Lytechinus pictus: one gene and its partners. The protein of the gene in region 2 purifies or fractionates together with the protein of the main gene of each other region. This does not show direct contact. Links are inferred from orthologs where the notes say so. Each region holds a gene or a part of one and is shown on either strand. Other genes may lie near its edges. The genes, in order: WD repeat-containing protein 37-like, SAGA-associated factor 29-like and TAF6-like RNA polymerase II p300/CBP-associated factor-associated factor 65 kDa subunit 6L.

Evidence for each region.
Region 1: the proteins of SAGA-associated factor 29-like (region 2) and WD repeat-containing protein 37-like purify together in Homo sapiens (affinity purification with mass spectrometry; 3 studies listed by BioGRID and IntAct, counting the BioPlex papers as one, with this or other methods). This does not show direct contact. The link is inferred for Lytechinus pictus from reciprocal best matches to the Homo sapiens genes SGF29 and WDR37.
Region 3: the proteins of SAGA-associated factor 29-like (region 2) and TAF6-like RNA polymerase II p300/CBP-associated factor-associated factor 65 kDa subunit 6L purify together in Homo sapiens (affinity purification with mass spectrometry; 4 studies listed by BioGRID and IntAct, counting the BioPlex papers as one, with this or other methods). This does not show direct contact. The link is inferred for Lytechinus pictus from reciprocal best matches to the Homo sapiens genes SGF29 and TAF6L.

The regions. Positions count from the first base shown.
Region 1 is NC_087247.1:25,765,393-25,769,151, reverse strand, and holds the start of WD repeat-containing protein 37-like, read right to left. Parts: upstream 2,610-3,759; 5' UTR 2,202-2,609; intron 1-2,201. UniProt on the Homo sapiens protein: Required for normal ER Ca2+ handling in lymphocytes. Together with PACS1, it plays an essential role in stabilizing peripheral lymphocyte populations.
Region 2 is NC_087246.1:3,895,208-3,898,966, forward strand, and holds the start of SAGA-associated factor 29-like, read left to right. Parts: upstream 1-1,534; 5' UTR 1,535-2,439; coding exon 2,440-2,727; intron 2,728-3,759. UniProt on the Homo sapiens protein: Chromatin reader component of some histone acetyltransferase (HAT) SAGA-type complexes like the TFTC-HAT, ATAC or STAGA complexes.
Region 3 is NC_087251.1:8,182,420-8,186,178, forward strand, and holds the start of TAF6-like RNA polymerase II p300/CBP-associated factor-associated factor 65 kDa subunit 6L, read right to left. Parts: upstream 2,597-3,759; 5' UTR 2,585-2,596; coding exon 2,513-2,584; intron 1,614-2,512; coding exon 1,463-1,613; intron 888-1,462; coding exon 831-887; intron 1-830. UniProt on the Homo sapiens protein: Functions as a component of the PCAF complex. The PCAF complex is capable of efficiently acetylating histones in a nucleosomal context. The PCAF complex could be considered as the human version of the yeast SAGA complex.

The DNA of each region.
Region 1 (3,759 bases), on a different chromosome or scaffold from region 2:
CGCACTGTGAAAAATAAGCGTAATTTATACAGGAAATCTGCATAAACCATGGACTCAACCGTGGGTTTTCAAAACCACCTTTATGAATTCAAGCTGCTTAATGTATAGTGAGTGATTGTATTACCGACTGGCCTTGTATTCATCATATGTGTCAGAAAATAATTTCAAACGCTCAAAATTTTACAACATCCTTCCGAAGGGAACTTGAATAGAAAATGATGAAAAATGGTCAAAAACACATTTACAAAGTCTTTATATTCTCAAATAATAAAATACGGTCAAAATAGCTTATCAGTGATTTTGTTTTCTCAACTTTTCCCATAGAAAACATATGTTCAGTAATACAGTACCATTTTCAAGTGACCAAAATATTTCACGAGAAGAGGGGTCCGATTAAAAGCGGATATAGTATTAGTAATTAAAAAAAACAATTTCAACAAAATTGTTATATTCTGTAGGTATTTGTGTAGATCTATTTATGGTTAAAGTTTTGTGAATTTTATGAAAATAATGTATCTGATATGATCAAATCCATGAAAAGTGTTCAGTAATATGATCCACTACCATACTTGGCCAATGAAAAGTGTGATCTTGACCCGATAAAACCAGTTCTTGTTTTGAAACCTATACCATTTTAAACTAAAGCATAGGCTTAGGCCTAGTTAGATCTAGATATTCACTCAGTCTCAGGCTCTCAGCTTCATCATGATCTAAAAATCATTTGGGCTCAAACAATAATAAAACTTGAGTAAAAAGGAATCAAAGGCAAAGCAAGTGAAAGGGCAAGCGTGCACAAGTTGCACCGGGTCGCCAGGCGATGGTACGCCAGATCTTCCGGGTCGGGCAGCGTGTCATCTGGTCATGACCCGCTGCCGCTGGTTATCGCGCTGTTTCACGTGGACGTACAAGTCAAGTGAAATCTAAAGTAAAGGATTCGCATCTGAAACTGTAGTGAACAAGGGCAGACAACCACGTGGACTCGAACGATCGGACGATTGCTACGCCATTCTCGTTCACTGCTCCTATTCCTAACTTGCTAAAACCATTGGAAACTCTCTATAAGTATAATTATTACCGGTACTGACTGTGAACCCTGTGGCTGTGCCTGGCTGGCTGTGACCTGTGTGCATTGCCATTGATGTTGAGCTTGTTTACGAAGAGTTTTAATACACTGTCACTGTATAAAAAGTCTGTAACTTAGTCTAGACTCTAAGTCTGTTAGTATGGTTGGAACTACCCCTTATCGACCACCTAATCTTCTAAGCATCGTATCTGCGAAAATATTCATCAATTTTACCCAGTTTTCGTCTCATTTGTGCAGAAAATTGAGCAGATCAGATTCCCATGTTTCGCTCAGCGACTCCGATTCAATCCGCGTATATATCGACGAACAACGAATACGACGATTTCACATTTGCTCATTTGCACCCGTCTTTTGAAACCGACCACCCGCGATACACTAAGTTTACGGCCGATTCTTGTCGCGGTGGCGAAATATTTTTATTCTTCCAAATCAGTTTTATGATGTCATTGTCAACATGCTAAATGATCGTCTCGCTACTTCCACTGCGAGCTCCGGCACATGATTCGACGATTGATGACGGATATTTGTTCTAAAGCCGTTTCCTATCGGATTTCTTGGTTTTTCAGCGGGGTTTGGGTCTGGTCAATACAATTTTGATTAATTCTACTGAATTTTTACTTTTTGTTGCTTCTTTTTTTCTCGTAAAATCGATTCTTACCGTTTCTATGGACACTGCGCCTTCTCTCCCGCGCGTATCGTTTGTAATACGCAATAATTTTAACACGCGCAAGGTGGTCGGTTTCAAAAGAGGTGGTCGATATTTGGTAGTCTCACCTTACTGAGTGTTAGTTATTATAGGATGGGGGGGGGGTCGGGTGTCCGGACACTTTATATTTTTGAAGCCTTCTTTTTTGTCTTTGGATTACACTAAAAATACAAATTCAATAGGTAGTTGTAATCATCTTCTATTTTGTTCTCTATAATATTTCCTGACATTTTGTACTAACAATTGATAAAACTTCCCTTGTAATTTTTTCCAAATGACTTTCTAAAATTGATCGTCCGGACACACAACAACTGGGTATACTATTATTAGTAAGTAAGTGTTAGTGTTAATAATAATAATAATTCAGAGTGGAGAAAATATAGATTTAGGCCTAGGCCTATCAATCTATACCTAATTCTTGAGGTTGAATGATCCCGAGCTGGATGGCAAAACTTGTGTGCGTCACATCCAAGGTCACCTCACTCCAGTCGTCTAAATTTATGCAAAACTGGTCAAGTTATATCGGCAAGCGATCACAACGCAACGGTAATGGGATAACAAACAACTCTCTTCACTTCAGTATTCTACACAGCTAGCTAGCTGTACACATATACGGTATCACAGTACAGCGCCAGCTCTGATGCATCTGAGGTCGCGTCTGCGCCCCCAGGATCGCCGCGCCAGCGTACCGTAGCAAAGATACACTTTGACCGTAGCGTACGGGCGCGGCGCGCCCCCGTCCCCCTGGCCAGCCCGGCGATCTCGGTACCGCTTGCTGCCGGATTCCCACCACCACGACGTACATACGTAGGCCTACGTCTGTTGTAGTTCCGCTTCGTCCTCGAAAAACTCAGCCGTACAATTTTCGCTCGCGCTCTAGCGCTATCCTGACAGTCTACATTATAATACTATACCATCCAGAATGAAAAGGGGCTGAGCCTGAGATAGGTTTTTTGTGATCGTTTGGCACCATTTTATAGAGTAACTGGAGGTACTGCTAGCCTCAGGGGCGTAAAAAGGGTCGTCAAACATTTCTCGGTTGTAATTGTATCCGAATTGTATGAACAGACAGTGGCGTATATTATATACTGCAAAATTGGCATAGAAGACAAAAAAATCACAGCTTTAAGTTACGATAAAGCGAAGCAAGCAAACATTTCGACAATTTTATTACCAACATCAATAGATTTTGACATAATCAGAAAATATATCTTATCTCCACCTGTTCGCCACTTTCAACAGGATTTTTTTGTATTGTGCGGAGCCTGATTTGGGCCATATTTAGGGCAATTTCTATGCCGCAGTACGGTAACGTGATGAGTAAAAAGAGAGAGAGGGGGGGGGGGGGCACATGCCCCGGCGATACGGCGTGTGGCAAAAAAAAAAGCTGCTTAAGTCCCGATCGAGCGAGCGAATAAACAAATCACTTTTTCATGACGGAATCTAAGGTTGAGATAGATTTTTACACCTTATTCAGAAAATAGGCCTAGTCTTCCATTTAAGTTACTTGCTTATCTTTCTTTGATCCTTTTTTGTTGTTGTTGTTGTTCTTAGTTATATAGGCCTAACTATATTGGTGACCGTCAGTGGCCCAAACCCTGAATCTGGTAGTGCTATTATGCGGATCACGGGCCCCCGACGGGCCCCCGGAACCCACACTGCAAAAACTCCGGTGTTGATTTAACACCAGCCCGGAATCTATATATGTCCCGGGATATGTCCACACCAGTGAAGTATTGAAACAACGGTTTAGAATCAAACTGATGCTGTTTTAATACTAATTGGTGTTGTATAAACACGTATCTTTCTGGTGTTAGACCAAAACGAAACTGGTGTTGTTTAACACTTCTCTGGTGCATGTGGACATATACTATTCCGGGCTGGTGTTAATTAAATCACACCGGAGTTTTTGCAGTGCATTCTAAAACCTTATAAACATGCATGGCCGCTATTTTTAATCAAATCAGGG
Region 2 (3,759 bases):
AGTCTTATATATCAAGGGTCTTTTCCAGGACACACCCTAAAACCCAACAATTTTTACTATTCATTCAACACCTGGCTTGGTGCAGGCATACAATACAGGCTTACATGTACCTGTATTGTACATAACTTTCTTTTATTCAGGCTCTATGCCAAGAGTTATGCTTGCACCTGTATTGTACATAACTTTCTTTTATTCAGGCTCTATGCCAAGAGTTATGCTTGCACCTGTATTGTACATAACTTTCTTTTATTCAGGCTCTATGCCAAGAGTTATGCTTGCACCTGTATTGTACCTACATGTAACTTACTTTCATTCAGGCTCTATGCCCAAGAGTTACTATGCTTGCACCTGTATTTCATATCACTACAGTATGTTAAGCTACCTTATCTTGTTTTTTAAAATGAAGCCAAGAACTTCATTCTTTATAAAGAACTTTAAGGAATTTCCTCAAAAAATCAATAATGAAAATCAGATGTTAGTGGCTGATCTAGAAATTAATGTGAATGATTTTTTTTGCTGCATCCTCATATTCAATGAAAGCTGGATCTGCCCGTGGGTATTATAAAAGAAAATGTGACTGGGGAGAATGAGGAATACTATCATACCTCTTGGTCGCATGTCAAAAAGTGGTCCTATTGACCGAACAGAATAAAAATGGTCAAAAAATTATTCTTTTATGTGTTACAGGTATTACCATTCTGTAAAAAAAAAAAAGTTTTTAGTCCCAAAATACCTTTCTTTTCCTTCACATGACTAAATGCTACCTGTTACACAGACATCAATGTAAATATGAATTTTCAAATGCGTTTTTCTCCAGTTAGACCTGCTGCACATAAAATGGTGTTATAAGTTAATGCTACATCGGATCAGACTTTTGCAGTTTTAATCTTGTAACATGGTAGAAAAACAAATGATTTTCTGTTGTTGTATGCATATCAATTACACTAATTAACAGTTCACAATTAAGTTAAGTAAATAAGCCAAACACATGCATGGACATTTGAAATTAAGGGAGAGAAATGATTTTGCATAATATATTTTATTTAATGAAATTTATGCGACAAACTGATATAACCAAGCTGATAATAATGGGTTTAAATGAAACTGCACGAAAAGACAATCATAATGTATTTCCTTCCAAGCTAATGTAAATAAATAAATGATAAATTTAATTGGAAAATGATCATCACAATTGCTATTTTCTAACTTGGCCAGACTTTAAAACACAAGACATTTTTATCCATATGAGGAGTAGATATACATTGTGTCTTGTTTATTTAGGATACTCTCTTTTTTTGTAAATTGATATTCAGAGACTAGTTAACTCTTAACATGCCATACACACTACTAACCCAACGCCACAGTGCTAATCCAATGCTAATCCCCTGTGCCAGCCACAAAACCCCCCTGTGCCACATTGATTTTGGGATCGCGAGTCGTATTCACTCCTTTCAATAGTCATGATTACAATTGCTTGTAACTCTCTAACGATTAGTTTATCCACAAAATATTGTGTAAAGTTGTAGGAAATTTCATACCCCTTATAATGGTGTCCTCATTATATGGATTGGTTATTATCTTTACCGTTAAAATATGAGTTGTATCAAGTAGTTCCATTTTGTGGAGTGTTTTGTATGGATAAAAAAACCTAGGTCTCTTCCCTTTTGGAGGCGGAGCCATATCTTGTAAAAAATGTAGTAATACTCGAAAAAGTCTAATGTAAACCGCGTGAGTAAGTTGATCTGTCAGAAAGCAGAGTTCGCACTGCACACAATAGTGCTAATTACGGCGTGCATGCGATGCGCAATACAATGCAAAACGGCGTAACAATGATTGTAATTCCGAATGTGCGCAGTCATGCACGAAGCAGGCGAGGGTAGGAAACAATGCAAGCACAAAGCAATCAATAGTAGGCGTGCGAGCACGAGTGTGGCATGTTATAGTTGGATACGTAGCGTGCACGAAGCACTCAATGAGTTAAGGGATACTACATTTATTAAAAAACTACTATTTCATTTTGTACTCCGGCTAACTTTTTATTTACTATCACAGAAATTACTACTTATTATTTTCATGAGCTTGTGCTGTTTAAGAGTAGATTGGAAATAAAAATCAATAACAACAGTTATTTCCTTCTCTCTTTTAGGGGTGTAGTCTATCAAGTTGAAAAATATTATTTTATAAAAGTATTTGAAAATGTCTGATAAATCTTAACTATATTTCAGCATAGTCATGTTATGATTACAGAATTTTGATTGATTTAAGATCCATAAGAAAAGAAGTTACTCCAAGAACTGCTCCCCGCAATAAATTTCTCTTTCTTTTTTGCTTGTTCTTCCTCAGCATATCACAGATTACAAATTAATACCTAGAGTACGCTTGGGTAGCTGGCAATTTTTTCATTATACGCTGGTAATTGTCTTTAACAAATCTCCACTCATGAAGATGAGAAGAGGGAAATCGTCCGGGGGCACACCCTTGGCCTCTAGCAAGGATGAAAAGGTGATGGCTCCCAGCTCCATATCCCCAGAACCAAACATGGATTCTCCAGGCAAGACTCCTCAGTCTGAGGGTGCAGGAGGGAGTGGGACAGAGACAGAGCCCAAACCAGAGGAAGAGAAGACGGGAGAAAGCAGTAAAACCAATGTACTACATGTAGGGACAGGTTCAGCATCCATACAGGAGATGCTAGCTGAGCTATATCGTCTTGTCAAAGACACACATAAGGTGAGTTCAATATCAACACAAACATCTCAGATGCTTTCACTGCTCTGCCAACCACTGTAATACACATTTTGCAAGTCCTATAATTGTATAAATTTAAAAGATTTGAGGAGTTTGGGGGATTGTATAAAAGTTTTTCTGATATTTGTCACCAGATCCCATATTCTGTAATTTGTCTGAATACAAATATTATTATATTCAGAGTTGAATTAATCCATTTTCTCAAAATTCTAATATCTTTCCTTGTATCTTTTACTGAGCAAGCACGATATCAAAGCTATATATAAATCTGAATAGGGCACACAATTACGTTATCTTTGTTAAGTTAACTGCCTTGTAAATAAAACTGACAGTTAGGGGATATTGTATTTCAATGTTGAATGTGTGTTTTCTCTTGATAACAAGAATTATTTCTTGCTGGTTCTTGCAAGAACATCTTGTTTTACAAGAGGACACCTTTCAATGATAGATTTGCAGACTTTTGGTAATTTTTAGATCGAATTAAAAATGATGGTTTCCTTTTCACAATTGCCATGCCAGGGAGAATCATAAGCAATGCTTATGCTTGCATGCTATTGTGTGCCATAAGCATCATGGGCTCAAGGGAAATTACACCTCATGACAACAATGTGCCTAATATTTTTACAGAAGAGACCCTTCTTTTGGTTGATTTACTCGTACTAAACTCTTGATTAGTTGACAAAAGAAATGGGTATGTCAGAGATGAGGTATGGTATCTCACTGTGATAACATAAAAGATGTAAGAAAAGACAAGACAATCAGAGATGTTGTTTATGTCATGAGCAAAATAAACCTGAACAGATGAGCATTTACTTATAAACTTCAATTTATTAATTTAAAGTGAAGTCAGTGAGTGAAAAACGGTAATTGGTAGAGATAACTATTTACAGGACATTGTCTTTAGGGAGCCTTGCTCAAAGTAATTTTTTTATGGAAATATATGTATGGTACTTTATGTTAACTGAAAATACACTGTACCTAAGATAATATGTAAATATACTAAGATGCTATAGA
Region 3 (3,759 bases), on a different chromosome or scaffold from region 2:
CAAAGTTTGAATAAGGGTCTGTGCGTGCAGACATGTAGGGGGCACTGTTCTATTCACATGGAAGGCAGGTTCTTATATGTACATAAAAAAACCCTTGACATTTAAAGAAAAATGAAAAATAGTGTAATGCAAAGTTTTATTTTTTTCATTGTTGAATTGAAAAAAAAATCATTTTGTACATTATGCTCCATCATGTTACTGGATACATGTACTATAATGTATTTATGTACAGTTTGATGAATATTTTATACTCTGGGCAATTTAAAGAATGAAGAATAGTTTAAATACAAGTGAAAATATAATATTTGAGGATATCAATTTATAATTTTGTATTTAAAATCACAATTTATCACTTTTTGTGAAAAATTAAAAATTCCCGAAAATTCCCGAAACTTTCCATGGAAATTTTCCAAAATTTCCAGCCCTTTGAAACCCTATCTACATTTAAAAAAATTGCTTTAATTTAATTCTTTACTTTGAGACCTGATAATCTAGTATGATTTATGATATTGAATGTTACATTAACTTTCAGCACAGTGCAATATAAACTTTTTAAATTTTGATAAGATTTTTTTGTATGTCAATTAATTATCAATACTTGAGTTTACTTGAAACATGGAATGCCCCAGGACATGAACTTTGTGACCAAGAAATCGAGTCAAAGAACACTAAATACATTTTATATTCGATATTCATGGATTTCAAAATATCAAGATAGACATGTGGTTTTAAACTCAGATTGATATTTCAAAACTCAGAAGGAGAGACTGGAGAGTAGAAAATGATTGTCTGGATAATGTGCATGGTGTTAATTTTTCAAAACAACATACCTGGATCACTTGATTGAACAACAGTCTTGTGAACACCTTCTAAAGCTAGCCAATTAGCTGCAGAAATCAGCAAAAACATAAGAGGGATTATAAAAATAATATTTCATGAATTTGTTAACTGAAAGGGAGGCACGTCATCATAAAGTAATAGATTTAATAAAAAATTGTTTACACAACTTCATGAAACAGAATGGGATGGTGCTAAGCTGTTAAAAGTTATGCATGACTTGAAAATCAACTGGTGACCATTTAGTGAATGCTGAATTCGATTCACATTTGGTAATCATAAAATCCAATCTTTGTAGATTAAAATCATCATTTTCTAACAATCATCAATGGAAAAATTCAATATTATTCAACTGTTAAAAATGATCATAAGAAATGAAACTATATTATTACAGAACAAGAAAAATTCATCAGTCAGGCATAAATTCCAAACAGCTTTATGAAACATTGTCTTAGTCAATGCAATTGCTAATTGTATGCTTCTGTGTACATCTCATACCGTATAATAAGATTGTTTTCATATTTTGTTTCAAAACCCATCCATTCAGAAAACTTTGGTATGATAAAATCAATAGAAAGCATGTTTATGACAAAACAAAATAATACATGTACATGTAATACCAAACCTTTTAGAGAGGTGTTTCCTGCACTGTTGGGTATCTTGGTATCCATGGCGATCTCAGGTAAACTCAGATCTCGGTCTTCCACAAAATAAAGATTAGTATCCTTAATCTGTCTAAACACAGCAGGTTCATTAGACCCATAACCATGAATGGGCTGGATTGGAAAAACAAAACAGCAAATTATCATAATTGTTTAGGCCCAATTCATTAGTAGGCCTATGTACTAAATTTTATGATAAACAGCCTACAAGTTTATGATTCCAGTAGTTACTTGTTAATAATCCAACCACTTTGTAATTCATTGACATGGTGTATTAGTACTACACCTTTCACATAATTCTTTGAATTTGTTACATCTTTAATGCTGTATCCTTTGACTTTATACTTTTTTAAATAATTATTAATGCAAAGTATTTTTATTTATATGGCAGCAATGCTCTAAACTATACAGGTGAATTGCTAATTTGGCACATGAGAAATCATTTCTTGGCAATGGAAATGTATGCATTAAGATTCATTATATGACACCTTGATCCCTGCCATTTGATTGGTTGTTTGATTCAGCCCATTTTTCATGACATCATCATCCGTGCAATTATGGATCCATACAATTTTGTCCATTGTACGCACGTACCGAGACCCCAGGCCAGCCCCATGCACCACAAGTAAAACACTTGTGTTTGCAGCGCATGTACGTGACAATCAACAGACCAAGCTCTCACTGTGCACAGTATGAGCATATTTTGCATCAAAATTCATGAATTTCAAATAACAAGCATCGATTTTTAGGTGTCATATAAACAAAATAATGTTTTTCATTCGTGCAATGGACAGAATACTTCATTTGGTGAAAGATGAAATGAATGATCCATTCAACAAGGTGTAGCCTTGTTGAATGGATCATTTCATCTTTCATCTCAATTCTCATGAAGTATTTGTACATTGCACTTATAAACATTCATTATTTGTATAATCTTCAATGGACCAATCAAAGACTGGATAAGTGCCGTAGGCATGCTCGGTGACAGCTGGGCAGATGGGGTATCTATTTACCTCTACGTCACTCCATCTTAGAGCTTTGTTGAAATCATCAGACGTCATCCGCTTCCGTTTGCTATGCTTCATAAATTGAGAACTCGCCTATCCAGGAAAAAGAAGAGGAAAGATTAAACATTCCAGGCTGATAATAATAAACAAAAGATAGGGGAGATAGATAAAGAAAGAATAAAGGGAAATAAAGAAAGAGTAAGAGAGGAGTGAGGATAAAGAGGTTTCCTAAGCAGATGGAAATATACACCACTTGAGAGGTTAAGAGAAGATTTCCATATGTATCCCTTGCTAAAAAGTGCTAACATTATAATTATAATATTGATCTGACTTAGAAAGTTAAATAAAATCTCCAATCATGGAACAAGTATGTGTTATCCCCCCCCCCCCCGCCCCACCCTAGAAAAATGCAGCAGAGCTCAGACGCCTGATCAGGGTCAAGAATTGTGAGGGTAAAAAGTAGCAAAATTGTTCAAAAATAAAAGCAAACAAAATGTTTCCACGGCTATCCATCCAATCGTGAATATGATTACGAGTAAAAGAAACTAAGTGTGTTCAGTATGTCCATCACAAAAAGCAATATAATGTACTTAGATTGAATATTGCCCGATTGTTGTCGAGAGAGGCACGCATAGACATACATAAAATGCTTTTCATTGGCAATATATGAATATGCTTAGGGTTGAGGGGGCAGAATCCAAGCATTTTCATGCACGTTCATATATTATGAACAGAAAATATTTCTCTCAATGCCATTTTTTTTCAGGATGGGGTTATCTAAATTGACTGAAGAATCACTATAAACTTTTGTTCATGATAATTTGGGCTAGTCGTTCAGTGCAGATTACCCCACCACCAGGTTGAATGGCTACGATCTACTCACGTTTCTATATGAGAAGTTTGCCTCATTCTCAAAGAGGTGCTTTGGGCTGAAAATAATTATACCTAAAACAGACTAAAATTCACCAAGCAAAACGCTGAAAATTTCCTTAAAATCTGACAACGAAATAACAAAGTTACTGAATTATAACATTTAGCAATATTTTGTGAACAGGTGTATGCTGTTGTCAAGGACATTCATTAGGTGGGCTGGTGATGACAATGGGATTGTCCTTGCTTATGAGGACTGCTATTTTTCACTTCCCCTGCAGGACAGACAGTCAACAGCAATGACAAGGATTATGGCAGTGCTACAAAAGGATTCAGTGACCTCCATTCCACGGCCCTGTTCACCATGTACTTTTTTACGTCTA